6 linked regions of the Macaca fascicularis genome follow. The protein of the gene in region 5 purifies or fractionates together with the protein of the main gene of each other region. This does not show direct contact. Links are inferred from orthologs where the notes say so. Each region holds a gene or a part of one and is shown on either strand. Other genes may lie near its edges.

Region 1 (5,039 bases), on a different chromosome or scaffold from region 5:
ATTTTTCATATAATGAAATATTTTCAAAATGTTAAAAAAAAAAAAAGTCTGTGGAGTGAGTCATATAAACTGCAGCTTCAATGTCTACCACATGGTCAAAAGCAGTCCTCCAAAACTCCAATGCCTACAGTGAAGCAATCTGAGTTCAAAGAAATGTGGAACCCAGGGTCAATGGTGGATTGTAAGGCTCACCTAATGGTATTCCAATTCAGCCAAACAAAATATTTGCACAGGGCCAACAGAGCCCCTAAGCCAGTGGCCTATTGGCAACCCCAGTTGAAGGGAAAGGCTTTGGCAAGCAGCAGACCTTAGCAGGAATTCCTGCTTCCTGGCAGTTAACTCCTCCAGCATCCACTTTTAAGAACTCTTGAGGAATAATGGCCGGGCCCAGTGGCTCACGCCTGTAATATCAGCCCTTTGGGAGGCCAAAGCAGAGGACTGCTTGAGCCCAGGAGTTCAAGACCAGCCTGGGCAACAAAGCAAGACCCTCATCTCTAAAAAAAAAAATTTTTTTTTTTTTTTGAGACAGAGTTTTGCTCCTGTTGCCCAGGCTGGAGTGCAATGGCGCAATCTCGGCTCGCTGCAACCTCCACCTCCTCCGTTCAAGCCTCCTGGGTTCAAGCGATTATCCTGCCTCAGCCTCCTGAGTAGCTGGGTTTACAGGTGCCCACCACCATACCTGGCTAATTTTTTTTTTTAGTAGAGATGGGGATTCACCACGTTGGCCAGGCTAGTCTCAAACTCCTGACCTCAGGTGATCCACCCATCTTGACCTCCCAAAGTGCGGGGATTACAGGCGTGAGCCACTGAGCCCGGCCTTCTAAAAATTTTTTTTAAGGATTAGCTGGGCATGGTGGCATGTGCCAGCTACTCAGGAGGCTAAGGCAAGAGGACTGCTTGAGCTCATGGGTTTGAGGCTGCAGTAAGCCATGACTATGCCACTGCATTCCAGCCTGGGTGACACAGTGAGATCCCGTGTCTTAAAAGAAAAAACTTAAAAAACAAGCTAAGTTAGCCACTAGCATATGAACCTTTATGTGCCATGCATATTCTCATTTAACCCAATACCACCTGAAAACACATGTCATTATTCCTAGACTATGGATATAGAGGTGGCATATGCTTGTTTAAGATCATCGAGCCAGTGGAGGCCATGTTTTCAAGAAGGCTGGGCAGGCCAGGTACAGTGGCTCACACCTGTAATCCCAACACTTTGGGAAGCTGAGGCAGGAGGATCGCTTGAGGCCAGGAATTGAAGACCAGCCTGAGCAACATGGCAAGACTCCGTCTCTACAAAATTAAAAAAAGGAATAAAAAAGGAAGGCCGGGCCCAAACTTCTCTGAATTGGGTCTAACATCATGAAGCCAGGTACTTTTGTAACTTCACTTCCATTCCATTTTAAATCAAGTTTTATCTTGGGAGGATACTGGTACAGATGATTCAAGAAGGTATATACCCACTAACTGGTTAAGAAGTGGTTTGACTATAATCCCAGCACTTTGGGAGGCTGAGGCGGGTGGATCACTTGAGGTCAGGAGTTCGAGACCAGCCTGGCCAACATGGAGAAACCCCAACTCTACTGAAAACACAAAAATTAGCCAGGCATGGTGGTGGGCACCTGTAATCCCAGCTACTCAGGAGGCTGAGGCAGGAGAATCACTTGAACCCCGGAAGTGGAGGTTGCAATGAGCTGAGATCACGCCACTGCATTCCAGCCTGGGTGACAGAGCAAGACTCCATCTCAAAATAAAAAAGTTGTAGTTAAGGCATGGTGGCTCATACCTGTAACCCTAACCTTTGGGACACAGAGGCAGGAGGACTGCTTAAGGGCAGGGGTTTAAGACCAACCTGGGCAATATGGTGAAACCTCATGTATACAGAAAAAACTAAAAGTCAGTTGGGCATGGTGGTGGTCGCCTATGGTCCCAGCTACTCAGGAGGCTGAGGATCCCTTGAGCCCAGCAGTTCAAGGCTACAGTGTGTTATAATTGTGCCAGGGCACTCCAGCCTGGACAACAGAGTGAGACTCATCTCTAAAAATAAAATTGTTGTTGTTGTTGTTTTTGTTTGTTTGTTTGTTTTGAGACAGGGTCTCACTCTGTCACCCAGGCTGGAGTGCAGTACCACGATCTCGGCTCACTATATACAGCCTCAATCTCTGGGGCTCAAGTGATACTCCCACCTTAGTCTCTTGAGTAGCTGGGACTCCAGGTACATGGCACTACTCCTGGCTAATTTTTGTATTTTTAGTAGAGATGGGGTTTTGCCATGTTGCCCAGGCTGGTCTCAAACCCCTGGTTCAAGAGATTCATCCGCCACTGCCTCCCAAATTGCTGGGATTACAGGCGTAAGCCACAGCACCCAGCCTTCAAAAAAAAAGTAGGGGGTCGAACCAAATATCCATCCCTCCCCAAAGGCCCAACCAGGCCAGTTAACAAGCCCAAGGAAATAGAAAAATGGCAGAGTGCTTTCACAGATTCAGCTGGAAGTGTCCAGGCCTGGTGAGGGTTCCTATGCCTCATGCACACCTCCCTTGAACAAGTTGTTAGGAATGAATAGATGGCGTTCATGGACAAGGGGCTGGGACCACTGCTCCCACTGATCCTGTGCACGGAAGTCGGACAGAGGCATGAATTGCTAAAGCCAGGGCCTCCAACATTAGACACACACACTAAAGAACACACCCACGAACACACGCAAACACACACGAAAGTGTAGCCAGTTCTCAATAGCAAGACTTCCCTGATGCCCACGGCTCACAGGCACAGATTTACAGGAAAAGACCAACCATGGAGCCTTCACGCTTCCCGGGCCCTGCGCGGCATTGCACGGTTCAAGTTCCTGCCAAAACACAGACTTTCCCAAGGAGCAAGGAACACACAGTCCCAAGTGACAGAATGAGTTCCCCCTACGGAAGGCTGGGCTCTCAAACATGAGCCAGCCCAGCCCGGGCCCCGACCGGTGACGTCCGTCTCTGGAGGCCGCCATCGGGATGCACAGCTTTGGGGGAAAGGCACTGAGGGACCCCCCACCAGAGAAGCACCACCGGGGACCGGGCCGGACACCGGAAGTGGAGGCCGAAGTGCCGGTGCCCGAGGGGTGTCCGTTGGCCGCGGGCTGCCCACTTCCTGTGCTACCAAGCTGGAGGCAGGAGCCCGGCCCACCGCTGCTTGGAGAAGGGGACCCCGGAGACGAACCCAAAGCTTGCTGTATTTGGGGATCAAAAGAGAACCCCCACCCCGCCCAGTTTCTAGCCACCAGGGAGCTACGGGGGAATCCACAGCCCATTTTGGCGCCAAACAGCCCGGGCACGCGCGACCGGAAGTGCCACCCTGCCCGCGCCAACTGCCGCTGCGCGCCGCACCACCCCACGCATGCGCGCCCGTCTGTCAGCAGCGGCCACTGGCCACCCCGAGGGGAAGCGACCCCCCACCCAGCGCCCTGCCTGGCCCCCCGAGTCCACGTTCCCCCCACGGTACCTACCGCCTGCGGACATCGTCGGGCAGTGAGATGGCCGGGACGGCCAGTGTGGGCACCCGGGCTGGGGCGGTACGCGCCGGCATCTCGGAGGCTGCAGCAGACGCGACGGCGGCAGCGCAGGCGCCCCGGCTTTTCGCGCGGAAACCGATGGGGAGGGGCGATGAGCGGAGGCGGCGTCTACCACCCCAGTCCGGGCGCGGGGAGGGGGGAGCGGATGTACCAAAAGGAAAGAGGCGATACCCTGTGCAGAAGGATGGAACGGAGCAGGCCATGCCCAGGGACCACGCATGCGCGAGGCGGTCACGCACCCCCGCGCGGAGCAGTGGGCTCGTCCAAGCTCCACGGTTTGCTGGGAGGTGGGCACCGTGCCCGAGGCATTCATTCATTCATTCTTTCAGGTGTGATGGGGATAAAGCAGCAAGAAGTCCCCAAGGGCTTGTGAGAGCCCTTGAGTAAAGTCCTCAGTTCCAATTCAACCTCCATCTATTTGCTGGCTGTACGACCTTGGATGGGTCACTAGGACTCAGCCTCTGTGTCCTCGTCTGTAAAACGGGGTAATTGCACCTACTCTAGAAAATCTTGAGTATGCACAGAATTTGTAGCTAGTACCAAGAATCTCACAGTGTATAGAGACCCGTGCCACTTCTATACCCAGTGTGTGTGGGGTTTTTTGTTCCCCTTTTTAAGCACCACGTGGCTTATGCCTGTCATCCCAGTACTTTGGAAGGCCAGGGCAGGAGGATCGCCTCCTGGTTTAAGAGAAACCACATCTCTTAAAAGAAAAAAAGGAAAACAAAAATTAGCTAGGCGTAGTGGCGTGTGCCTGTAGTATAACTACTCTAGAGGTTGAGGCAGGAAGATCGCTTGAACCAGTGAGGCAGAGGTTATAGTGAGCCATGATTGCGCCACTGCATTCCAGCCTGGGAGACAGAGCAAGACCGTGTCTCAAAAAAATAAAAATAAAAAGTAAAAATAAATTAAGAAGCACTATGCCAGGCGCAGTGGCTCATGCCTGTAATCCCAGTGCTTTGAGAGGCCCAGGTGGGAGGATCGCTTGAGGTTAGGAGTGCAAGACCAGCCTGAGCAACATAGGGATACCCCATCTCTACAAAAAATACAAAGATTCGCTGGGCATGGTGACATACACCTGTAATCCTACCTACTCAGGAGGCTGAGGTGGGAGGATGGCTTGAGCCCTGGCAGTATAGGCTGCAGTGAGCTATGATTGGGCCGCTGGACTCCTGCCTGGGCGACGGGGTAAGACCTTGTCTCACTCTGTCACGCCGGCTGGAGTGCAGTGGTGAGATCTTGGCTCACTGCAACCTCTGCCTGCCAGGTTCAAGCGATTCTCATGCCTCAGCCTCCCTAGTAGGCTGGGATTACGGGCGTACTCCACCACGCCTGGCCAATTTCTGTATTTTTAGTGGGAGAGACAGGGTTTCACCATGTTGGCCAGGGTAGTCTGGAACTCCTTACCTCAAGCAATCCACTTGCCTCAGCCTCCCAAAGTGCTGGGATTATAGGCCTAAGCCACCGCAACCGGCCGGAATTTTTTTTT
Region 2 (4,928 bases), on a different chromosome or scaffold from region 5:
CTGGAAACGTGCGCGCCTGCTAGTACCAGTGCCTGGAGAGGGCTGGGGACAAACCGGTTTATGCCGCGCACACCCAATCCATGCGCCTGAGTGAGGGTGGGTGTGCTGGGGAGTGCGTCCAAGTGGACAGTGCTGTGTACAGTAATGTCTACGGAGAGTTCCAGGAGAGCCTGGCTACTCCTGCCCAGGATAACCTCTCCCCCACCACCCGAGTCCGGTGTTTGCGGGCAGGACTTTTCCGAACTGGGGCTGTGAGCCTAGAAATACGTGAACGGGAGCGCTCAGCTCAAAGCCCCAGGGTTTCCGGGGCTCGCTTGTGCGGGGTCGGGGTCCCTGGTGGGCACAGGTGGGAGGGCGAACCTGCGGATGGGGTGGGCCCGGGCCCCTCCCCGCCGGCTCAGCATCTGTGCGCCTCCAGCTCAGGTGCGCGGGAGGAAGGCAGCGCCTGCCCCGCAGAGCCCCGCGCGCCCGCGAGGTGGCGCTATAGCCGCAGCAGCGCCCGCCGGCCCGGGCCGCTCCAGATAAGAGTGTGCGGAAAGCGCGGCGGGGCTGAGACGCGACCAGGACGCGGGGAGGACGGACCAGCAGGACAGACCGACCGGGGGCCCGGCGGGCGGAGGGCAGCGCAGCCACATCCCCCCTGGATCCGCCGGCAGCCGGGCCCGGGGCTTTCGACATGCCCCCCAGGTGGGTCCTCGAGCCGGGGACCGGGAGGGACGGGGGCCCGAGACAGCCCGGTCCTCGTGCGTCGGCCGCCTCGGGCGCATCCTCTGGCGCGGGTGCCCCATCGCGGCTGGCGGCTGGCGTTCAGGGCTCCGGGTGTCGTCCCTGTCGGACTCGGGACCGCCGGGCCGCGGCTCCGCGCCGGGTTCACGGCGGGGTCAGCGGCCCGGGGCCGGCTGTGCCCGCACATGGGCTGGAGAGGCGAGGGGAAGGGAAGGGAAGGGGAGCTGGCGGGCGGGGCTGGCAGGGGCGCTGCCCTGGCACAGCTCGGGGCCTGGCAGCGGCGGGTGGGGCATCGGCTAAGGGCTGCCACCGCCGCGGGGAGGGGAGCCCGGCCCTCCGGGGCCGCAGGTAACGGGCCGCGGGGCCCCGCGGGCCAGGAGGGGAACGGGGTCGGGCGGGCGAGCAGCGGGCAGGGGAGCTCAGGGCTCGGCTCCGGGCTCTGCCGCCGGATTTGGGGGCCGCGAGGAAGAGCTGCGAGCCGAGGGCCTGGGGCCGGCGCACTCCTCCCGCCCTGTCTGCAGTTGGAAAACTTTTCCCCAAGTTTGGGGCGGCGGAGTTCCGGGGGAGAAGGGGCCGGGGGAGCCGCGGAGGGAGGCGCCGGGCCCGCGCGTGTAGGGCCCAGGCCGAGGCCGGGACGCGGGTGGGGCGCAGGCCCGGGTCAGGGCCGCAGCCGGCTGTGCGCCGTGCCCGCCCGGGGCGCTGCCCCCTCCCTCCCCTGGGAGCTGCGTGGCTCCCCCCTCCCCCCCACCTGCTTCCTGCCTCAGCCTCCTGCCCCGATATAACGCCCTCCCCGCGCCGGGCCCGGCCTTCGCGCTCTGCCCGCCACGGCAGCCGCTGCCTCCGCTCCCCGCGCGGCCGCCGCCCGGGCCCCGACCAAGGGTTGACAGCCCCCGGCCAGGGCGGCGCCAGGGCGGGCACCGCGCTCCCCTCCTCCGAATCACTTCCCCCAACTGGGGCAACTTCTCCCGAGGCGGGAGGCGCTGGTTCCTCGGCTCCCTTTCTCCCTACTTGGGCAAACTTTTCCGCCCTGAATGACTTTTCCTGAAGCGGACATTTTACTTAAATCGGGTAACTGTCTCCCAAAGGGTCACTTCGCCTGAACAGTCTTCTCCTCGGAAGCCCCAGCACCCAGCCAGGTGCCCTGGGGCATGCAGGCCGGCCTGGCCTCCCCTCCACCGGCGGTCGCTCACCTCCCGCTCCTTCTCCTGGTCCGGGCGGGCCGGCCTGGGCTCCCACTCCAGAGGGCGGCCGGTCCTTCGCCGGTGCCCAGGCCGCAGGGCTGATGCCCCCGCTCAGCTGAGGAAGGGGAACTGGAGGGGGAGAAGTGCCGGGCAGGGGGCAGGCGGCCAGGGCGCCGCACGGCTCTCACCCGGCCGGTGTGTGTCCCCGCAGGAGAGTGTGCTGGGCAGACGATGCTGGACACGATGGAGGCGCCCGGCCACTCCAGGCAGCTGCTGCTGCAGCTCAACAACCAGCGCACCAAGGGCTTCTTGTGCGACGTGATCATCGTGGTGCAGAACGCCCTCTTCCGCGCGCACAAGAACGTGCTGGCGGCCAGCAGCGCCTACCTCAAGTCCCTGGTGGTGCATGACAACCTGCTCAACCTGGACCATGACATGGTGAGCCCGGCCGTGTTCCGCCTGGTGCTGGACTTCATCTACACCGGCCGCCTGGCTGACGGCGCAGAGGCGGCTGCGGCCGCGGCCGTGGCCCCGGGGGCTGAGCCGAGCCTGGGCGCCGTGCTGGCCGCCGCCAGCTACCTGCAGATCCCCGACCTCGTGGCGCTGTGCAAGAAGCGCCTCAAGCGCCACGGCAAGTACTGCCACCTGCGGGGCGGCGGCGGCGGCGGCGGCGGCTACGCGCCCTACGGTCGGCCGGGACGGGGCCTGCGGGCCGCCACGCCGGTCATCCAGGCCTGCTACCCGTCCCCGGCCGGGCCTCCGCCGCCGTCTGCCGCGGAGCCGCCCTCGGGCCCCGAGGCCGGGGTCAACACGCACTGCGCCGAGCTGTACGCCTCGGGACCCGGCCCGGCCGCCGCACTCTGTGCCTCCGAGCGCCGCTGCTCCCCGCTCTGTGGCCTGGACCTGTCCAAGAAGAGCCCCCCGGGCTCCGCGGCGCCAGAGCGGCCGCTGGCTGAGCGCGAGCTGCCCCCGCGCCCGGACAGCCCTCCCAGCGCCGGCCCCGCCGCCTACAAGGAGCCGCCGCTCGCCCTGCCGTCCCTGCCGCCGCTGCCCTTCCAGAAGCTGGAGGAGGCCGCACCGCCTTCCGACCCGTTTCGCGGCGGCAGCGGCAGCCCGGGACCCGAGCCCCCCGGCCGCCCCGACGGGCCTAGTCTCCTCTATCGCTGGATGAAGCACGAGCCGGGCCTGGGTAGCTATGGCGACGAGCTGGGCCGGGAGCGCGGCTCCCCCAGCGAGCGCTGCGAAGAGCGTGGTGGGGACGCGGCCATCTCGCCCGGGGGGCCCCCGCTCGGCCTGGCGCCGCCGCCGCGCTACCCTGGCAGCCTGGACGGGCCCGGCGCGGGCGGCGACGGCGACGACTACAAGAGCAGCAGCGAGGAGACCGGCAGCAGCGAGGACCCCAGCCCGCCCGGCGGCCACCTCGAGGGCTACCCATGCCCGCACCTGGCCTATGGCGAACCCGAGAGCTTCGGTGACAACCTGTACGTGTGCATCCCGTGCGGCAAGGGCTTCCCCAGCTCTGAGCAGCTGAACGCGCACGTGGAGGCTCACGTGGAGGAGGAGGAAGCACTGTACGGCAGGGCCGAGGCGGCCGAAGTGGCCGCTGGGGCTGCCGGCCTAGGGCCCCCTTTTGGAGGCGGCGGGGACAAGGTGGCCGGGACACCGGGTGGCCTGGGAGAGCTGCTGCGGCCCTACCGCTGCGCGTCGTGCGACAAGAGCTACAAGGACCCGGCCACGCTGCGGCAGCACGAGAAGACGCACTGGCTGACCCGGCCCTACCCCTGCACCATCTGCGGGAAGAAGTTCACGCAGCGTGGGACCATGACGCGCCACATGCGCAGTCACCTGGGCCTCAAGCCCTTCGCGTGCGACGCGTGCGGCATGCGGTTCACGCGCCAGTACCGCCTCACCGAGCACATGCGCATCCACTCGGGCGAGAAGCCCTACGAGTGTCAGGTGTGCGGCGGCAAGTTCGCACAGCAACGCAACCTCATCAGCCACATGAAGATGCACGCCGTGGGGGGCGCGGCCGGCGCGGCCGGGGCGCTGGCGGGCTTGGGGGGGCTCCCCGGCGTCCCCGGCCCCGACGGCAAGGGCAAGCTCGACTTCCCCGAGGGCGTCTTTGCTGTGGCCCGCCTCACGGCCGAGCAGCTGAGCCTAAAGCAGCAGGACAAGGCGGCCGCGGCCGAGCTGCTGGCGCAGACCACGCACTTCCTGCACGACCCCAAGGTGGCGCTGGAGAGCCTCTACCCGCTGGCCAAGTTCACGGCCGAGCTGGGCCTCAGCCCCGACAAGGCCGCCGAGGTGCTGAGCCAGGGCGCTCACCTGGCGGCCGGGCCCGACGGCCGGACCATCGACCGTTTCTCTCCCACCTAGAGCGCCCCTCGCCAGCCCGCTCTGTCGCTGCTGCGCGGCCCTGGCCCGCACCCCAGGGAGCGCTGGGGGCGGCGCAGGCCAGCCGTGCCCGGGACAACTGCAGCGTCGCCGCGGTGGCGGCTCCACCTCTCGGCGGCCTCACCTGGCCTCACTGCTTCGTGCCTTAGCTCGGGGGTCCGGGGAAAACCCCGGGACGGGGGTGGGACGGGGTAAGGGAAATTTATATTTTTGATATCAGCTTTGACCAAAGGAGACCCCAGGCCCCTCCCCGCCTCTTCCTGTGGTTCGTCGGCCCCCTCCCCCGGCTCCGCGCTGCTCTTAGGCGGGGAGGGGTGTCACTGTCGGGGCGCTCCTAGCCCTACCTCCGGCCCTTGCGACCACACCCATTCTCACTGTGAATCTCCCCGCTGGGGTCGGAGCATCGGGCAGAGTTGGGGAGTGGGGAGGGGACTGAGCCGGCCGGAGGGCCCCCCGCACCCCCACTCCCACCCACCCCGGGACTGATAATGTGAAGTTCCTCATTTTGCACAAGTGGCACTAGCCCCAGGGCCAACCCTTCCTTCCTCAACCACCAAGGGCGGGGAGTTCTGGAGTCAAGAGGGCGAAGAGCCCTGGCCTGCCAGGTCTCCCACTCCCGCGGTGCCC
Region 3 (4,462 bases), about 120 Mb from region 5:
TCAAAAAAAAAAGCATAATTTTTCTAATAGAAGAAATAACTATCTTGCCAGAAATATCCCCTCAGACTAATTTAATATTGTTCTTTTAAAGGGAACCAACAGGCCATGATATAATCCTGTCAAGCAAGAAGTTACTTTTGAAATCCACCACTTACTCTCTACGAAGAAATGCACAAACTTGGTGAGAAGTAGCACATTTACCTTGGCTATCTCAGAGTATACTTTCTTAAGAGCCGCAGCCTCTGCTTACACTGCCTATGCAGAAAGTAGGTGGAGAATTGTTAAGCCCCCACTATATTCTTTCCACCTGTAGGTAATCAAGAGTGGGAGGACGTAAATCCAAGCATGGAGTGTATCTACTGAGCTGATTCTTGCTACCCATGTAACTAATTCTCTTTACTGAAGTGAAGAAATAGAAACCATTATTATGTTCAACTTGATTTCAAAAGAAACCATGACAAACACTAATGAAAAAGGATACTTCAAAAGTGTCAGTAACACCTAGTATGTGAGACCTTGTAGTCAGTCACTTACTATTTATCAGTCACCTCTTACTATTAGAGGATAGAAACACCTCTTACTATTAGAAACTTTTGTCATTATTTAATTCTGCAGACACATCTATCTCTTCCATATTACATATTGCTTTGAAATTCACTGAAGAATTCAACATTCAATACATATAACTAGCCCTCTCCCTATCATAGCTGTGTTACATCAAAGAAGGGAGCAAGCTGTGCTTTCTGCAGACGGACCGTCAGTGTTAAATGTAATAAAAAACATCATGTAATGGATTACTAATAGGAGTTTAAGACTTCCCTATGCTACAGCCCAAAGGTCCTGCCTTGGAGATTAGATGATACAGATAAGATCTGGTAACCCAACAAAGAACTCTGAGCAGGACAGGGTTCTAGACCAAAGAGACCTCAAAAAGCACACGCACTCTACTCACAAGAGGACCTCAGAGATCATTTATTTCTGAAATAATTCTCAAACTCAAGAATGTTCTTTCTTAACACAAGGCAGATTTAAAGCATCAAATAAGAAGGGGCCAGGCACGGTGGCTCATGCCTGTAATTCCAGCACTTTGGGAGGCCAAGGCGGGTGGAACTCCTGACCTCAGGAGTTCAAGACCAGCCTGGCCAACATGGCGAAACTTCATCTCTACTAAAAATGCAAAAATTAGCTGGGTGTGGTGGCACACGCCTGTAGTCCCAGTTACTCAGGAGGCTGAGGCAGGAGAACGGCTTGAACCCAGGAGGCAGAGGTTGCAGTGAGCCGAGATCATGCCACTGCACTCCAGTCTGGGTGACAGAGCGAGACTGTCACAAAAAAAAAAGAAGTAAAAAAAATTTTAAGTATTGGAAATTCTTAGTAGCAACCAAAACATTAAAGAAATGGCAGCTCATTGCAAAGAAGATAATAAAGAATTCAAAAAAGTACAGTAATCCAAGCAATCAATGTTATTCTAATACTCTTTTGTAAAGCCAGATAAACTTTGCACTGAGTTTCTGTGACGCATACTAACTTGCTCCAAATATCAAGGACCCAACTGTTAACGCACTTAAGAACACGTGACCACCCCTAGCGTACCTCTCCCTTAGAATTGCTTGTGAGTGTCAAAATGAGCAGCTGCTGCCCATTCTCACCTTAACTGGAGGCGTGGTTCCTGTAGGGTGTCTGCGGATCTGGCAGCCATTCTGGCTGGGCCTCTGCGGCTTGTTGTTCAGTTGGGGCTTCTTGACAGTGCCTCCATGATCATTTCTCACAGAATCAACCTTCTCAGCAGTTGTTTTGCTTAAAAGCTGATTAAGACACATGAAAGAGATTAATACTCTTATCAAAGTAAACAAATATCATCTAGGAAAAGTCCCCTTCTGAGCACAGTTTTCCAACTTCTCTAAGATAATAATAATAAATAGTGTAACTCTTACAAAAAAAAAACATACCACGGAGCTGTTGGCATCTGGTAGGAATTGTCCAAACTCTGACAACAAATCCTCCTGGTTTTTAAAGAGACGAGCAACCTGGGCATACACCTCCTGCTCTGTCAACGCTGGAGTGTAGTTTCCTCCAGCTTCCTTGGCATTTCTCTGCTCTTTCTGAGGAATTGCAAATGAAGAGATCACATTAAAGGGCTACTGTTTTGAGTCGCTCATCTTTGCACACTTTCTGGAATCACTGTTATCTATTCAGGCTGCATGTAAGAAGAAAGTCTATGTTCTCAGCACCCGTTCTGACCACAAACGAAAATTTCAAGTTGAGAAAAAAGTGCAAGATGGTGGATGACAATTCCTTTCAAAACTAGGGTAGTAAATTTTTTTGAGATGGAGTTTCACTCTTGCTGCTCAGGCTGGAGTGCACTCATCTCGGCCTCCCAAAATGCTGGGATTACAGGTGTGAGACACCATGCCCGGCCTAGGGCAATAAATATTAATGCCCAGGGGACCACTACCAACTGATAAAACCTTAGAAATTTCTCCTCCTCCTACTGTAGATTAACTAGACTAAATAAGTCACCATCTAACTGTCCCAGATAAAACAGAGTTTCATTTCATGGGACAGTGACTAAAAATCCTGACTGAGGCCAGGCGCAGTGGCTCACACCTATAATCCCAGCACTTTGGGAGGCCATGGCGGGCAGATCACCTGAGGTCAGGAGTTTGAGACCAGCCTGGCCAATATATTGAAACCCCATCTCTACTAAAAATACAACAAATCACTTGAACCCAGGAGGTGGAGGCTGCAGTGAGCCGACATTGCACCACTGCACTCCAGCCTAGGCAAAAAGAGCAAAACTCTGTCTTAAAAAAAAATCCTAAATGAATGTTGCAGGGCAATCAAGTCAGGCAAATAAAACTGGCTTTATAGCATGGGTGTGGTGGCTCACACCTGCAATCCCAGCACTTTAGGAGGCCGAGGCAGGCGGATCACAAGGTCAGGAGTTCGAGACCAGCCTAGCCAACATAGTGAAATCCCATCTCTACTAACAATACAAAAAATTAGCTGGGCATGGTGGCAGGTGCCTGTAATCCCAGTTACTAGGGAGGCTAAGGCAGGAGAATCACTTGAACCTGGAGGCGGAGGTTGCAGTGAGCCGAGATCGCACCACTGTACTCCAGCCTGGGTGACAGTGCAAGACTCCCTCTCAAAAAACAAACAAACAAAAACACTGGCTTTATAAACACGCATGGTAGTTTCTAACTGGCTAATTTCCAGTATGAATTAATGGACACAATAATGGTTACTTAAGTTGTTCTTTGACTAGATGGCCTGATTAAGACAAGCTGAATGGATACTCTTCTTACCTGATATGTGTGCAAAATCTCCAGGAATGCTTTGTAGATGTCTGGTTGGCCCTGGAATCTGTTCTTGATCTTATTAACATAGTTGATGGCATGATTAAATTCCACAGGTTGATTGTTCTGCAAGGATGGGGCCGTTCCCAATGAGATTGTCACTGGTGTGTGAGGCTGGACCGGCGGAGAACGTGGGGATGCATACGGTGGAAGTGGGGGAGTCTGCTGACTGGCAGGAGTATGTGCTTGTAGTTGGGAGGGCTAAAAAGAAAAAAAGTCTTTATTCTCCTCAGATGCATAGATGAGTTGATAGAAGGAAAGTTCAAACTGAAGAGAAACAAAGTGTCAACGTATATCCTTTATTTACTCACTCAGGCCAGGCCATTTTAGTCCTACACAAATCATACTGGGCAACAGTGGGAGTTGTAGAGAGTTTCAAACATGCTGATACAAATATCTCAGTCTCACATTTTCTAAATAAAATCTTAAAACTGGAGCCATCTACAATTACAGTGAAGAATTTTTCATATGCAATGTTTTAGCTTAGTAGCTCAACAAGTACACATAGAAAAAATCTCATTCTACACAGCCTTTTGATGTCAACAAAAAGACACCTCAACTGTTGCAGCAGCTCCACATAGTCTTCTATGCCAACTCTGTCCTATAGAACTGAGATGATGGAAATGTCCTTTATTTGCACTGTCTTAAATATACAGCCACTAGCCACATGTGGTTACTGAGCACTTGAAAGCTAGTGCAAATGAAAAACTGATTTTAATTTAAATTTGAATAGTGCTATGTGGCTAGTGGCTACTGTGTCAGACAGTGTGGTTCTAGACCAAGAACACCCCATCTTCATCATCATCACCATCACTGTTCATTAGATCTTCTACTTAGCTTGATATAATCTGGTAAGTGAAATAACTTTCATAAAATAACCATGTGGGCAGTAGCACAATTTGACCATAAGAGGATGGTTTCTGTTTGTGCTATCAACTACTACTACACAAAGTCACCACCTGTTGGGATGTTCATGGTTTTATAAGCAGAAACTGTAAAGAGAAAGACCTTGAAAATTGTTGCTGTGTTGATTTAAATAGATATCTAAGTGGTGTGTAAATGTGAACCATGTTATAGTGAAGTGACTACTGCATTTTTCTCTG
Region 4 (4,462 bases), on a different chromosome or scaffold from region 5:
ACCAAATAGTTTAAATCACCTGCAAACCCACCTGGCCTCCGGGTAGTTCCTAATGACTCTACCTTACGTCTTTCCCTTTTAGCAGGGAAAGGCTCTGACTTCTAGGCTTCTCTCTTACTCTCTAAGTAGCCCCAGCCTTAAGTCCCTTCTCATCATCACTTCCCCCACTTTTACTGCCTGCATCTGGGGCAGTCCTCACCTTGGTCTTCCTGAGCAGCATCATTGTAGTTAACTTGCTTGCGAACCCGCTTGCCCTTGCCTAGATTCCGGGCTAAGTCTTCCTGCTGTTGCTCATAGTGATGCCTCAGCAGCTTCTCCCAGTAGTCAGGGTCCACATTCTCCTCCTGCTTGATGATCTCTCGCTCAATTTCCTCAATCTGAAGGGCAGCAGAATGAATGAACACTGGGGGTCTCCTTCTTTGCTAATCTTTCCATGGCAATGAAATCCCTACTCTGCTGCGTCAGCCCAATCTGGTCTCCCCACTCCTGGAGCTTCGTGACTCTGCATACATTTTCTGGACATTGTGCATGTTCCATGCCATCTCTTACCTGCAGCGTGCTCTCCTCATGTTTTCTAAATCTCTCCTCTAATCCCTCTGACAGTGTTTCTCCTGCACTGTCTCAGAAGGTACCCTCTGTGTTTACCAGTACTGTCTGTGCCTACGTTTCTCTCTGAAGTCCAGTCTCACCTATTAGACGAAGACGTTATTTGAGGTCCACTACTGTTCTAAGGGGGACAGACCCTCCTATTTCAAGGCCAAGTAAAGGATACTGCCTTTTGGAGATGGCCTGGGATAGATAATGTCTGGCCCCCAGAGCCTCTCACCTTGTCTTCTTCTCGCACGACGTACTGTGCCACTTTGAAGGAGCTGAGATACTCATTCATGTTCTGCACGTCAGTGTCCTCAGTTGCATCCTGGTTCCGGTCCAACAGCCGAGCGATGGCCTCATTGTCATAATGAATCACACTGCTGTCTTCCTCCTTGTTCTCCCCTGGTGAGAGGGAAAACAGGGAACTTTGGGTTCCAAAGTTTAGAAAGGCTGATGGGAAAGCTTCTACTCTGCATCCTTTTCACAGAAGCCCTGGAGAAGGCTCTTTCCCTGGGAGCCAATGTTGAAAGGTTTATGTTTTGTTTGTTTTAACCCTACAGGCAAAGAAAGAGGTCAACCTTCCTCCAAGAGCCACTAAAAGAAGGCTCTCCTTCCTTCAAAGGCTACAGAGAAGAGTTGTTTTTCCCTCCGCAGGGGGAGAGCAGGGACCTGCTTTCACGGAGCTGCAGAAAAGGTTCTCACCCTCGTTTTCATCCTTGAACAGCTCTTCAGTGCCAAATTTGAGAATGTCGTCAAGCTCCTGCTTAGACATGGAGCCTGCCTTGGAGCCCAGCCCAGGCCGCACAACCAGGTGTGTCAGCATCATCTTTCTTTTGGCCACTTGTGTGATTCGCTCTTCCACTGACGCACGAGTCACAAACCGGTAAATCATCACTTTGTTGGCCTGGCCAATCCGATGAGCCCGGCTAAAGGCCTGCAGGGGCAAGAGAAAGTGGCGGGTGGGCCAGGGGAGTGGCCGGGGAGAAGCTGCCCACATGCTCAGGAAAGAAGGCTGCTGAAGAAGGGTCTTCTCTCCTCCTAGAAGCGACTTATTTCTGACCCCGGAACATGACACCCTCCTCCATGAACCCACATCTCCTTGCTAAATGGTGCAGGCGTTCCAGGATACGAGTTCCCACCTGGATGTCATTATGGGGGTTCCAGTCAGAATCAAAGATGATGACAGTGTCAGCAGTGGCCAGATTGATGCCCAGGCCCCCAGCTCGGGTGGACAGGAGGAAGCAGAATTGTTGGGCTCCAGGAGCTAGGAGGTGAGAGTTGGATCAGGTTTTTCTTGTACCCAGTAGGTCTGTCCACCTGCTCCTAGACGTTCTCTGATGACAAACAACCATGCCCCCAACTCAAAGCCTAAGTTTCCAATGTCCCCCAAGCCAGTCCCCCTCCCATCCCAGAGACCTATCACAGGTTTCTCAGGCCTCCCACACCCACCAGGGACCAGTGTATCTCCCTCACCATTAAACCGATCGATGGCCTCCTGCCTCAGGGCACCAGTGATGCCACCATCGATGCGTTCATACTTGTAGCCTTCGTAGTCTAAGAAGTCCTCAAGCAAGTCTAACATTTTGGTCATCTAGAGCAAGAGAAAAGGATGGAGTCTGGAATAATGAGGTGGTGGGATAGCTTGCTTATTCTAACTACTCCTTTATACAAACTCAACCCTGATCCTTACACCGGAACCCCTGCCCTGTCTTAAGCTCCTCTTTATTCCACATTCTTATCACACTCTCTTTTTTATTTTTATTTTTGAGATGGAGTCTCATTCTATTGCCCAAGCTGGAGTGCAGTGGTGCCATCTCAGCTCACTGCAACCTCCACTCCCGGGTTCAAGTGATCCTACTACCTCAGAGTCCCTAGTAGCTGGGACTACAGGTGTGCGCCACCACGCCCAACTAATTTTTGTATTTTTAGTAGAGACGGGGTTTCACCATGTTGGCCAGGTCTCAAACTCCTGACCTCAAGTGATCCTCCTGCCTCAGCCTCCCAAAGTGCTGGGATAACAGGTGTGAGCTACCATGTCTGGCCCTCTTGTCACACTCTCTTGATTTAAGATTGTTTCTCCTAAGGCAGAGGTTCTCTGCGACCCATGAAAAGGTTTCAGGGAAATCTAGGAACCCCCTGAAAATCCATACAAATTTGTGTCATTGTATGTACAGTTGTCTGGAGAGTGGACCCAGAGTTTTCATCACATTTCCAGAGGGTCTGTGCCTTCACCCTCACCTGCCAATAAGATGAAGAAATAATACCAATCTCTAAGGAGGCTCACCCTCACCCTTCCCCCATGCAGCTGAAAAGGAACTAAAGCTGGACTTCAACTTCCAATAACCTTAAGAACAGGCATCAGAGGCCAAGAATAAACTTGCTATACAGTAATCCCAGCACTTTGGGAGACCGAGGTGGGCAGATCACCTGAGGTCAGGAGATCGAGACCATCCTGACCAACATGGTGAAACCTCGTCTCTACTAAAAATACAAAAAATTAGCCAGGCATGGAGGTGGGCACCTGTAATCCCAGCTACTCGGTAGACTGAGGCAGGAGAATCACTTGAACCCAGGAAGCAGAGGTTGCAGTGAGCCCAGATCACGGCCCTGCACTCCAGTCAGGGAACAAGAGAGAAACTCTGTCTCAAAAAAAAAAAAAAAAAAAAAGAAACTCTTACAGGAGGAATCTCCTCATTTGTCACACTGGAGCAGCCACAGGAAGACGGTAAGAAATTAAAGTGTGGAGGACGAGGAGAGGGAAGAGGAAGCAGATGTAGACAGCTAAGGGCACAGGTCACCTGCGAGAAGATGAGTACTCGGTGTCCTTGCTCCTTCAGCTTTCGCAGCATCTTCTGGAGCAGCATGAGCTTCCCAGATGACTTAATAAGTGCCCCACCCTCATAAGCCCCACTGGGGAGTTTGGGGGACTCCTGAAAAGGGAGGAGAGAGGAGGAGGACAGGGTCAGTTGGAAACATCTCCCCATATTCTTACCATGCCTAGAAGGCCAGATGCCCAGATCCAGCTTCCACACATTCCCAATTCCTACTGCTCTCAGAGACCCAGTCCCTGGCCTTCCAGCGCACTCCACCCTTGTGGCTCAATACCCACCTCCCCACTACTCCCCACCCATGTTTTCTGAGAGCGGACATTCGATCAGCTCCTGCTCTGTGTATCTACCATAGCAGCCACGGGAAAAAGGTATGGATGGTTGCAGCACTTCTTAAGATCCATCATGATATTAAGCAGCGACACCTGGTTCCCACCACCTCGTGAATTCAAGGCCTCAAAATTTCGAGTCAGGATGTACTTGTAGTATTTCCTAAAGGCCAGGAAAGGGGTGTAAAAGAAACATAAAAAAAAGAAGCAATTATGATATTGCACTTGGAATGCTCCCATCAATCCCCAACCCCTACTGCAGGCAGCTTGTCTTGCATCTTACTTCTGCATGGGGCTTAGCTCCACCCGAACGATGAGCTCTGTCTTGGCTGGCATGTTCTTAAAGACATCTGCCTTGAGCCTCCGTAGCATATGTGGCCCCAGCAAATCATGCAGTTTCTTGATCTGGTCCTCTTTGGATATGTCAGCAAACTCCTCCAGGAAGCCCTCCAAGTTGCTAAGAGCCAGGAGAGAAGAAAATTAACAGGTTGGCAAGTTATTTGCCGCTGATCTCAGGCTTACCACCTCAGATTAATCCTCTACCGGTTCATTTTATCTGCTCCACCTCTCATCTCTGCCAACTACCCTTAGGGAACCACTTACTTAAATCTCTCTGGGGTGAGGAAGTTCAGGAGATGGAAGAGCTCCTCCAGATTATTCTGCAATGGGGTTCCTGTCAGCAGCAACTTATGATCTATCTTGTAACCATTGAGA
Region 5 (5,236 bases):
CTGCCTCAGCCTCCTGAGTAGCTGGGACTACAGGCACGCACCACCATACCCAGCTAATTTTTGTTGTTGTTGTTGTTGTTGTTGTAGTTTTAATAGAGATGAGGGTTCACCAAGTTGGCCAGGCTTGTCTCGAACTCCTGACCTCAGGTAATCCTTCTGCCTTGGCCTCCCAAAGTGCTGGGATTACAGGCGTGAGCCACCGCACCCGACCGGATTCTTCTTAATTCTTTGTTTTTATTGTTTGACTTACCTGAGGTCTTTGGACTTTGCCTCTGAGCTGGCTTAAGGGCAATCCACCTTTTTCACTGGTCTGGAGTGGGGAGGCAGAGTAGGGGTCGGCTGGAGGAACAGGGCTCTGTGCTGTCTTTTGAGAGTTTACTAAACGTCACTCTGCATGGTAAGGGGTGTGTCCTCTTCGCTGCGGTGTCCTGGCTTGAAGTTCAGATTGTCTCCCTGGGACACCAGACCCTGCGCCGTACTCCCTCCTAAGGACAGCTTTGACTGTCTCCCCTCCAGCAGTCAGTTCTCTCCACCCCCAACGGGAGAAGGAGCAAGGCTGGTGTCTGCAGGAGTCTCCCCTCCAGGCCAAGGCCAGGGGAGAGTGTGCATGTCACTGTCAGGATGTGTCCTGGTGGCGTGGCCGGGTTTTCAGGGTGAAGCGCCTCCGTTTCTGGGATGGCAGCGGAAGCAGGCACTACACACACAGCTTCGGGGGCTCTCCCCATGCCTCCTAGCTGCCTGGCACTTTCTGTTGTTTCTGGCTAACTTTCTGACCATGCCAGGAGTTGGTGGAAGGAGATCTCAGGCCGCAGCGTTGCTTTCCTGCTGAGGAGACAGAGGTAGGCCGGGGCTGTAGGACAGGGGAGGCAGCAGCCCCACCTTCTTTCTAGGGAGACACTGCCTGTCTGTCATTGCCCCTCTCCTGCACCTGGCCCCTGGCTGTCTGCTCTTCCCACCCAATCACCAGCAAGCCAGCTCCTGTTCCCTGCGGCCCGTAGGATGTGTCCTGGGACCCACAGCCCTCTCTCCCCAGAGACAGCACTGCCTTGCAGCTTCGGTTCCTGGCCCTGTGCTAACCCTGGCAGGGTTTTCCTTTCTAGTCTGCTCTGCAGCCAAGACATTGTGGCCACTGCTCTCCTCGGGACCCCCACCTGGCTTTCTCCCAGCACATGCTGTTTTCTGCCCACCTGGCTGGTGTCCTGTGTGCCGGATTCCCTATGCTCTGTCCCCAGCACCCTGACCACATCTGTCCCACCTGCCTAGATCTTGAACCGTGGGCACAGGGCTCCCTCCTGATAGCCCTGAACACTCCGCTCCATGTCCTACAGGGAGGGATGTCCCAGGTAGATGTCAGCTCCCTCCAGTCACTGACCTCCAGCATCTGAGCAGGCAGGGCCGAGACCCATGGTGCTGCTCAAACCAGCAGCCTGGAGCCCCAAGACAGCTCCTTTTCCTCACCTCCCCCAACACTGATGTTGCACCTGTCTCCAAGCCACTGTGGGACCATCTGTTTTTCTCCATCTGGGAAGCCCCCTTCCCACCTCATGCTCTTCCTGGCTGGGGCGTCTGGGTCACTGGACTCTCCTCTCGTTACACCTGTGCGCGCACGCACACACGCACACACGCACACACACACACACACACACACACACACACACAGGAGGGCATCCTGACAGGTGGTGGGGAGGGAGGGCAGCTGCCTCACTGTGGAAAGGGCACGGCCGCTCCCGGACTCCAGCCCTGTTAGGGCTGGGGAGGTCAGCAGGCGCTGGGTTCCAGCCTCAGGTGGGGTCTTCGGAGGTGGCCTTTGGGCACAGGCACCTCCTCTGTGGCCTTCTCACCAGGTCACAGTTCAGGGAGGCTTTGCCGCCTACGGAGCCTGCCCACACCAAGGCGCGCACGGTCACCGGTCCAGAGATGCCATGCGGGCTGGGCGGCGAAGGCCAAGGACACACGCTGCCTGGTGTCGGGGGCAAAGGTTAGGCCTGGAAGGGAGGTGTGGGGTGGGGACCCCGAGGCCAGGGCTGGGCCGCTGAGCTTCAGGGCCCTTGTTGGGGGTCAGGGGGGAATGCCGGAGGACCCCAGCATCAGGAGGAACCCCCTGGAGAGTTATGGCAGGACTCACCTGTGGGGCACAGGAAGAATCACCAGGGAAAGGACCCTTGTGGAGGATCCCCCTCTACCCCCAGGGCACTAGTGGAGGATCTACCAGGGGGGTCTGGTGGAATGGCCCACCGGGGAAGCGGCGCGCGGGGAGGACTCGGGGGCGCCGGGAGGAACTGTCCGGGAAGGGGCGCACGGGCCGCGGGCGGCGCGGGGTCGGTAACGGCCCGCGCGGTGGGCGGCGGCGCCCGAGGCCCCTCCCCGCCGCCCGCGGCCGCTCCTCCTCTTCCTCTCCCGCCCGCGCCGCGGCCCTCCCGTCCCTGCGCGGCCTCGGCGGCCTCGGCGGCGGCGGCGGCGGCGGCGGCAGCAGCGCGGCCCCTTTAAACGCCTGCGGCGCCCCCCGCCCCCGCCATCGCGCCTCCATTTTCCCGGCCGCCCGCGCCGAGCGCCGCGCCCGCCCCGGGCCCCTCCGCCGCCGCCGGCCCGGACATGGCCGCCAACATGTACAGGGTCGGAGGTAAGGCCGCACCGCCTTTATGCCCGGCCCCGACCCGCCCGCAGCCCCCACCCGCCGCCGCTGCCGCCTCCCCCGCCCCTCCGCCCCGCAGGCCCCGCGCCCCCCGTCCGCCCCCGCGGCCCCCGGCTCCTTCCCGAACCTCCCCCCGCAGTGCTCACCCCAACCCAAAATGGCCCCGCGGGTCGGCCCCATCGGGGGCGGGCGGGGCGCGGCGGCCCGGGGGTGGGGGGCGGCCCACCTGTTGGGGCCGAGGGGGCGGCCGCGGGGGTGGCGGAGGGGCGCGGGCGGCCGGGGACATCCGGGGGGCCGGGGCCGGGAGCCCCCCGCGGGAGCACGTGGCCTTGGGAGGCGCCGGCTGCCGGTCTGGGAGCAGGAGTTTTGGGGCTGTGGGGTCTCCCCCGGCCCGCGGCCCTGTGCTAGGACTCCGGTGCGTCCCCTCTGCGGATGGGGAGCCCCGGTGAGGGGCCGCGTTCCTCCCTAGAGCCCTCCTGCAGCCTGGCCCCGGGGCTTCCCCCCGCAGGGCTCTCTCAGGGGGTCTTCAGCAGGGAGCGAGTATCCCGAGCACGCCTCTAAGTCCCCCCAAACTTTTCCCTGCCTCCCGCTCACCTCAGCCCATTCGGGAGGCGCTTTGCTAGGGTTGGGGAGAGACCGGAGGGTCCCCTGGGCAGGGGCCCGGGGCTTCCTCTCTGGGTCAAGCCTCCTGTTGCTCGGGCCCCGCGGGCCTGCAGCTTTGGGCCTTGCCCTCCTTCGAGTGCCTGGGACTCCGTGGGGTCTTTCACAGGGAGATGGGGGGTCGTGCGCATTCCATCATTCCATCAGTGCCTCCCTCCCCGGGACTCTTGAGACCCCTCCCTGCCTGTGACCCTCTCGGCAGGTGCCCATTGCCTCTCCCACCTGCAGCCTGCGCTGCAGGAGGGAGCTGGGGTCTCTCTCGCTCTGGCCTGATCCCCATGCCCGTGACCCCGAGTGCCCAGAACACGCCGTGTCCCTCGAGCGTGGCCTCTGCTGCCTTGGACGCCGTGTGGTCTCGCCGGCCAGCCCTGTGACCTTGGGGACGGTGGGAGCCCCCTACACCCCGTCTGTGAGATGGGCGGTCAGTCTGCATCAGCAGCTCTGGGCCTCCCCTGTCCTCTCACAGAGGCAGTGGGCCTGTGCCCATCCAGCGTCAGCCCCCTCCCACAGCTTCATACAGCTTTGCCAGGTCCCTGTGTGGACACAGGTGGGCTCAGCCCACCCCACGCCTGGGGCAGCCTGGGTGTGGGGTCCCTTGAGGGAGCGACCTGTTTCTTCCTGTTCTTTCTCCCCACCTGGAGATCCCCCTTCCAGCCTGACATGAGGGCCCAGTTTCTCATCCCGGTAGAGAGGATGCCTACTGCCTGGGCTCCAGCCGGGCCCACTGCGCATGGTTTTGGGATTGGTCCCAAGAAGATTTCTCCCTGCCCCCACCCAGGCTGGGGTTGGGGAGTGGTGGCGGCTTTGGGCTCTAGGGCTGGGGACACCCCGACCCCGACTCGTGCCTTCCCAGTGGCTGCATTGCTCGGCCTTCAGGCCCGCCTGCCTGTGAACTTGGCGCCAGCCTGGCTGCCCCCCCACCGTCCCGTGCCTCGGTTTCCCCATGGTGTGGGTGAGGACCTCGTCTCTCAGTCATCCTTCTGTGCCCTGTGGCAGCTGTGCTGTGGCTGACGAAAGCCAGGACCCTGCCTTGTCCCGTCCCGGAGGTGCAGCTCCCCTGGGCCCTGCACAGGCTTGGGAGGAGCCCTGTGTGGGTCTGCACCGCCCTCCCTGAACCCTCTGTCCCTCTGTGCCTGGAGGCCCGTCCCGGGGCCTCACTGACCCACAACACTCCAGTGCTGTGAGGCTGGGTGGCCTGGACCCCCAGGCTGTGGCGGAGGTGCCCACCATGCCTGGCGGAGATGTTGCTGGTCTCTCTCTGTGATGAGGAGCATGGCAGGTTGGGTGCTGTCTGCTGGCAACACAGCCACGCGTGGGATCCAGACTGCTGCTGTGTGTGCAGTCCGTGGTCACTGTGGCCAGGTGTGCTCAGGGTTGTCAGGCCCTCCGTGTGCCCACCCCAAGGACGTCCTCTCCCTGCAGGTGAGACTGTGGGCCTCTCCCGCTCTCCTCTGACAGTCCCTATAGGAGAAGCGGCGTTTATCCCTGGCTTCTGGACCCGAACCCCGGGTTCCGGCAGGACCCCGGCAGGGCCTGTGGTTGCAGTGAGCTGGGTGTTGTAGGTTGGCTTCCTGTCTTGGTGCTCGCCCCAGGAGGTGGGTGTCTGGATTCTTGAGCCCCCAGACAAGAGAGAGGAAGGTGTCTCCTGAACAGCCTTTGTCCGTCTGTCACCGGCTGCCTGGCATGGGCCCCGTTTGGGCGGCCGTCCTGGCCTGTGAGAGCTGCTGGCAGGGACTCAGCCTGGGAAGGGGCTTGCTCCTGCCCCCTCCCCCCCGCAAAGGGACCTCATGTGTAGAGGCGCCAAATTTAGTAAAAAAAAGTACAGGATGCCCAGGCAAGTTTGAGTTTCAGATAAACAGAAATTTATTAGTGTAAGTATGTCCCAAATATGGCATGGGACATACTTGTCCCAGAAGATTCTTATCTGACATTCACAGTTATCTG
Region 6 (5,081 bases), on a different chromosome or scaffold from region 5:
CACCCCCCACCACCACCCCTTTAAAAAAAAAAAACACAGAACCAAGTATAGGTGGTCCTTTAAAACTGCATCAAAAATTTAAAGTAAGAATCATAAATTGGGTAGGGGGGGAATGTGGGCCCTCACGCCTTTCTTTCCCTTGCTGCCAAACTTTCCTAAGTGCCCACCGCCCGCCTTTCAGGCGCAGTCAGCGGGAGACAGCCAACACCACCACCTCTTATATAGACTCACAAGAACCTCAGACCGAGCCAGGCCTGGGGAAGAGGGCAAGCCCCAAAGGGTGAAGTGCTCGGGGTCCCAGGATCCAGCACCCTCAAAATGCATACTCAAACACACTTCTGCCCTGCCCTTTCCCGGCAACCCCGCCACCTGGCCTGGCCGTGCTCGGGGAGCAGGGGGACTCGTGGCCAGACCGGGCAGGGTGGGGGGTGGGCAGGGAAAGCACGTGGTGACCTCCTCGCGGTCCCGAGCTGTGGACAAGAGACATCTGAGAGAGTACCCAGGGCAGAGGGGAGGGGAGGCGCAGAACGCGCTTTTACAGTTGCTTTGCAAAATAAAAATGCTTTGCAAAGCCGAGTTTCACCCAGCCGATTTCGCAGTCTGGGAGGTCGAGAAGAGGTCTGGGCATTGTGCTGGGGGCGGACCAGGACCGCGGGCCAGGCTAGCGCGGAGTCACTGCGTGGCCTGCCGCCGTGCCTGGCGGGTGGGCGGCGGGCACCGGGTGGGCGATCCGGGGCTGGGCTGGGGCGCGGCGAGGTGGGGCAAGGCCCGGGCGAGGCCAGGCCGCCGCCGCCGCCTGCTCCGGGGCTGCCGCGCCGCGCTCGGTCCTCTGTCTGTTTGTTGGCAGGAGGCTCCCGCACACGCGGTGCTTGTAAACATTCAGACACGAGATTTTTCCCAATCAAAATCCACTTCCACTTTTTTTGAAAATCTTCCAAAAAATAGTAAGAGGAGGGAGTTCCTCTCTCCCTCTCCGTGCCGCCGGCGCCCTAAGTTTGCAACTGAAGGGGTTTTGGGGAACAGGGTGATTGTAAATTTTTTTCTGGATTAGAGATTGTGAGATTTTTGCAGGGGGGCTGGTGGGGGAGTCAAAGAGAAGGCCGTCACAGAAAAGGGTTGGCAGAGCGTTTGGCTTCGATTTGGGGGCAAGAAATTGTACATTCTCTTGCCTTGTTTTATTTATTTTATTTTTATGTATTTGTTTGTTTATGTGCCAGTCTTCTCCTTGCTGCCTCTGAGGTTCGGTCGGGAGGGGAGGGCAGCGGCAACCTAGGCGGCAGCAGTCCCGGCTCCCTCCCTCCCTCTCCCGCGTGCCCCCGGCCGCCTCCTCCCCCGGCCCTGGCTCCTGCCCTTCGGCGGCGGCGGCGGCGGCGGCGGCGGCGGCGGCGGCGCGGGAGGGCAAGCGCGAGGAGCCGGCACAAAAGGCAGCGGGACAAACACCCACCTCGGGCCGGAACAAAAGGCGGCAGTGCCGGCCGCGTCTCCTGTCCTTCCCGGTCCCACGGCTCTCCCCGCCGCCGCGGCCCCTCTCCCGACTCGGCGGACTCAGGAGCGCCGGGGGCCCCTTTCCACAGTCCCACTTTCTCACTATTGTGGGGATGACTACTTTCCTCACGCTGCACACTTGACCGTGAGCGCGCTGGTGTCCAAAGGCCAGTCTCACCTCTTTTCTCCCCGGGAATCGTTTTTTAGACTTGTACTCACTCACTTCCCCCCCCCCCCCCCGCCAATTTCTTACGGTGAGTGGGAAGCAACCTCCCTTTCCCCACCAGCTCCCACCCCCAGGTTTGCATGTGAGTTGTTCGCATCCTTAGCATTGTTCATTATTTTGCAAAACTGGGAGGGGGGGCGGTGGAATCATTGCATTCCTTTTCGAAAAGAGAAATAAAGCAGCGGAAAGGAGGAAAGAGGAGGAGTCAAATTTTTGTAAAATTAAATAAAATTAAAAGGTGCGTACTGTCTCAAAAGTGCATACACGGCAATGGTTCGAGATGGGATGAGGGTTTTTCCCCCTTTAATCTCTTTTACCTCGACTCTCGGAGGTTTTTCTCGTGAAAAATTTAAAAATGCATGCACACACCCCTCTCTCCCCCTCGCTTTTGCTTCTAGTCCTGCGCGCTCTCGTGATTATTAATAATTATTATTACTATTATTGGGTTACTTACGCGAGAATTCCCGTTTGCTTAAGTGCTGGGGTTTGCCTTGCTTGCGGCGAGACATGGTGGGCTGCGGGGCGGGCGGGCGGCGGCGGCGGCGGCGGCGGCGGCGGCGGCGGGCGGACGACGGCTCGGTTCACATCGGGAGAGCCGGGTTAGAAAGAAGGAGACTCCAGAGAAAATATCTTCATCAGTGCCTTTTGACATCCAAAATAAATTAGAAATAATACAAAGATGGCGCAGGGAAGATGAATTGTGGGAGAGCCGTCATGGCTTTTTTTTTTAAGCAAAAAAAAAAAAAAAAAAAAAAAAGGGAGAGAGAGAGAGAGAGAAGAGAGATAGAGGAAGAGAGAGAGAGAGAGATGAAAAAAATGGCAAAAGCCCCCCTGAGCTGCAAGTTCAAGTGCGGACGTGACGTCCCTGCGAACTTGAACGTCAGGAGTCTGGATGGACAGAGACACACAAAACATGGGCAGGGCGAGCAGGAGAGAAGGGGAGGAGGGAAGGGGAAGCTCACACCAATGGACACACATCAGGGGCTGGACATGAAAAAGAGACCAGGACAAGCCAATGGCCAGTGCGGGGCGGGGGAGGTGCGGGGCGGGGGGCTCCGCGGACGCCAGACGCGGCCCCCGGGGGAGGGGCGGGCCGAGGGGAGGGGGCGCTGGGGCCGCAGGCTCACCAGTGGCCGCAGCGAGCGCCGCGGCGGTGGCGTGGCCGGGAGAGAAGAAAGGGGTGGCAGGGGTGGGAGGAAAGGGTGGGGGGGAGCAAGACGTGCGCCCTGCTCCCCCCCACACACGCGGGCCCTAAAATGAAAGATTATTCAAAAAAGGAAAAAATAGAGCGAGAGTGCACCGGGAGGCTGCAGCCCCGGGCTGGGGAAGCGCGGGCGGAGGGAAGCCAGGTAGAGTTGCTCCCGGACACCCTCCTCCGTACGCACACCCACTTCCCCTCCCCGCCGCCGCCGCGCTTGCTCCCCGCGTGCGGACGCCAGGGGCCGAAGTAAAAGCCCCGAGCCCGCGGCTGCGCTCGGGAAACTTTGCCCGAGGAGAGGACAGCAAAGAAAAATCACCCGAAGTTGAGAGCTGAGCCTCCAAGTTACAGCTCCGCAGCGGGCGAGGGGAGACGGGAGGGAGCGCACGGCAACGCGGAATCTAGCCCAAGTTTGGAGGGTTGCAGGTCCGGAAGGGCAGCGCCCGAGTCTCCAGGAGCCCGGGCGGCCTGGAAAGAGGGGACCAGGGAGAGGGAGGCGGCGCAGGCCAGGGCCCGAGGGCGCCCCCAAGGCCGAGCCAGGGATCTGGGATCTGAGCGCCCCGCCAAGCGACTGGGTCTGAATGCAACTGGAAGTGCCGAGTCCCCGGCTCCTAAGGGTCGCGGAAAGAGAGCACGAGGAATAAAGAACGAGGAGCCAGAGTCTGGCCCCCGGAGGGGAGCGCCGGGGGCCTGGGCGAGAGAGGCGCCGAGGCGTCCACCTCTCTGAGCGGCCGAGGACAAAGCGCGGGCAGTCCCGGGAGTCCCAGTCCCTGGGAATGTGCTCCCGGCGCCGCGGGAGGTCCCCGAGCCGGGTCCCTGGGAGGGACACACCCCCTCCCACTCCAGAGCAACTGCAAAAGCACAGAGGGATGGAAAGAAAATGTTTCTTACGGGCAGAGCACAACTGTTCCTGTGCTGTTACCCAGGGAAAAAGAAAATGGGGAATGGAGAGAGAGCGACAGGCTCGCAGCAGCAGCGGGGAGGCTACGGTGGTGAGATGACCGCCCCGGGTCAACGCCGCGCTCCCCAGGCGCCGCCCGCCAAGGCGCACACCCGGGAGCCAGCAGCCCCCTCTCGCCTTTCTGCAGACGTTCCCTGGAAATTAGGGAAGACCTGTTGGAAATAAAACCCTGTCTCTTTAATGCACACACGCACACACACGCGCGTGCTGCCGCTGTCAAAAAGCGGGCTTCACTCTGGCGTGGGATACTTTCAGTTTTACGTAAAATGTACAGCAACAGCACCCCCTGCGATTGGAAAGTTTATTCAGAAACGTGCCTGTAAAGTCCCCCGGCGCCTCCCGCCTCCCAGCCTCCCTGCCTGCCAGCACCACTCTGCAGCCGCCGCCGCCGCCGCCGGGGAGATCGCGGTCCGATTCCAAATCCGGAAGGGGCTGGGGGGAGAGGAGAATGAACTCAGGTCCAAGGGAGGTGCGGAGGGTGCAGGGTGGAGGCGGGTCGCCACGGCCCGCGAGACCCTGAGCTGCAGGTGGATATGTGTGAGTGTGTCTACAGAGCGAGGAGCCCTCCTTCCCTCTCCTCGGAGCGGTTCCACAACCCCCGTCTTCTCATCCCCCTCTTCAGTCTAAGGGGTGTCGTTTCCGGAAACTCACCCACCCGGTGGGGGGCTTTATTGTTTTAAGCGAGGGTCCCCGGCTTGCGCGCGCTCACCCATCCCGCAACCCTACCGGCAAGCGGCTGTTTATTCCTGTGTCGTCTTAGTAAAGTTTCAAGTCTACTGTGTTAGAAAATGACTGGCTTGCCTAGCTCGGTGGAGCTTCGGACCCCTCTAAGGAAGAAAAGGAGGTTTTGATGCTCAACATTGAGAGTGATGTGGGCTGGACTGGGATTGTCTCAGTGTGGTTTGTTGTTTGTTGTTGTTTCCCTCCAGTTTGCGGGGGGCGGTGAGACCTCAAATTCTGTTTAAGAAGCGGGAAGATTCACTAGAACTTAAGCTCTGTAGCTTGTGTGTGACACCATTTCCCCTTTTCACTGAGTTCTTCAGAGCAGGTCAGCATCTCTATTCCATCACAGTCTGTTTTTTGTCTTGTTAAACCAGCCTTGGAGTCACCAAAAGAATGTCTTCTTGGGGGGTGGCGGGGGAAGACGAAGTGGGGGACAATTGGAGGGAAGGTGAAGAGAGGGAAGAAGAAAGTGCAACTGGGAGGCCTTT

Evidence for each region.
Region 1: the proteins of MTA1 (region 5) and DNMT1 purify together in Homo sapiens (affinity purification with western blotting; 4 studies listed by BioGRID and IntAct, with this or other methods). This does not show direct contact. The link is inferred for Macaca fascicularis from reciprocal best matches to the Homo sapiens genes MTA1 and DNMT1.
Region 2: the proteins of MTA1 (region 5) and HIC1 purify together in Homo sapiens (affinity purification with western blotting; 3 studies listed by BioGRID). This does not show direct contact. The link is inferred for Macaca fascicularis from reciprocal best matches to the Homo sapiens genes MTA1 and HIC1.
Region 3: the proteins of MTA1 (region 5) and SIN3A purify together in Homo sapiens (affinity purification with mass spectrometry; 3 studies listed by BioGRID, with this or other methods). This does not show direct contact. The link is inferred for Macaca fascicularis from reciprocal best matches to the Homo sapiens genes MTA1 and SIN3A.
Region 4: the proteins of MTA1 (region 5) and CHD3 purify together in Homo sapiens (affinity purification with western blotting; 7 studies listed by BioGRID and IntAct, with this or other methods). This does not show direct contact. The link is inferred for Macaca fascicularis from reciprocal best matches to the Homo sapiens genes MTA1 and CHD3.
Region 6: the proteins of MTA1 (region 5) and BCL11A purify together in Homo sapiens (affinity purification with mass spectrometry; 4 studies listed by BioGRID and IntAct, counting the BioPlex papers as one, with this or other methods). This does not show direct contact. The link is inferred for Macaca fascicularis from reciprocal best matches to the Homo sapiens genes MTA1 and BCL11A.

The regions. Positions count from the first base shown.
Region 1 is NC_088393.1:10,739,608-10,744,646, forward strand, and holds the start of DNMT1 (DNA (cytosine-5)-methyltransferase 1), read right to left. Parts: upstream 3,314-5,039; 5' UTR 3,290-3,313; coding exon 2,790-3,289; intron 1-2,789. UniProt on the Homo sapiens protein: Methylates CpG residues. Preferentially methylates hemimethylated DNA. Associates with DNA replication sites in S phase maintaining the methylation pattern in the newly synthesized strand, that is essential for epigenetic inheritance.
Region 2 is NC_088390.1:2,177,879-2,182,806, forward strand, and holds the start of HIC1 (hypermethylated in cancer 1 protein), read left to right. Parts: upstream 1-1,532; 5' UTR 1,533-1,757; coding exon 1,758-1,794; intron 1,795-2,118; coding exon 2,119-4,283; 3' UTR 4,284-4,928. UniProt on the Homo sapiens protein: Transcriptional repressor. Recognizes and binds to the consensus sequence '5-[CG]NG[CG]GGGCA[CA]CC-3'. May act as a tumor suppressor. Involved in development of head, face, limbs and ventral body wall.
Region 3 is NC_088381.1:52,631,310-52,635,771, forward strand, and holds part of SIN3A (paired amphipathic helix protein Sin3a), read right to left. Parts: intron 3,561-4,462; coding exon 3,309-3,560; intron 2,103-3,308; coding exon 1,950-2,102; intron 1,806-1,949; coding exon 1,650-1,805; intron 1-1,649. UniProt on the Homo sapiens protein: Acts as a transcriptional repressor. Corepressor for REST. Interacts with MXI1 to repress MYC responsive genes and antagonize MYC oncogenic activities. Also interacts with MXD1-MAX heterodimers to repress transcription by tethering SIN3A to DNA.
Region 4 is NC_088390.1:7,968,548-7,973,009, reverse strand, and holds part of CHD3 (chromodomain-helicase-DNA-binding protein 3), read right to left. Parts: coding exon 4,352-4,462; intron 4,206-4,351; coding exon 4,032-4,205; intron 3,912-4,031; coding exon 3,770-3,911; intron 3,522-3,769; coding exon 3,390-3,521; intron 2,183-3,389; coding exon 2,065-2,182; intron 1,856-2,064; coding exon 1,731-1,855; intron 1,526-1,730; coding exon 1,294-1,525; intron 994-1,293; coding exon 827-993; intron 378-826; coding exon 200-377; intron 1-199.
Region 5 is NC_088381.1:173,602,984-173,608,219, forward strand, and holds the start of MTA1 (metastasis-associated protein MTA1), read left to right. Parts: upstream 1-1,703; 5' UTR 1,704-1,917; coding exon 1,918-1,978; intron 1,979-2,125; exon of another isoform or gene 2,126-2,327; intron 2,328-2,388; exon of another isoform or gene 2,389-2,592; coding exon of another isoform or gene 2,593-2,620; intron 2,621-5,236. UniProt on the Homo sapiens protein: Transcriptional coregulator which can act as both a transcriptional corepressor and coactivator. Acts as a component of the histone deacetylase NuRD complex which participates in the remodeling of chromatin.
Region 6 is NC_088387.1:61,424,786-61,429,866, reverse strand, and holds the start of BCL11A (B-cell lymphoma/leukemia 11A), read right to left. Parts: upstream 3,052-5,081; 5' UTR 2,839-3,051; intron 2,616-2,838; exon of another isoform or gene 2,364-2,615; coding exon of another isoform or gene 2,288-2,363; 5' UTR 2,250-2,287; coding exon of another isoform or gene 2,221-2,249; coding exon 2,166-2,220; intron 1,662-2,165; exon of another isoform or gene 1,445-1,661; intron 1-1,444. UniProt on the Homo sapiens protein: Transcription factor. Associated with the BAF SWI/SNF chromatin remodeling complex. Binds to the 5'-TGACCA-3' sequence motif in regulatory regions of target genes, including a distal promoter of the HBG1 hemoglobin subunit gamma-1 gene.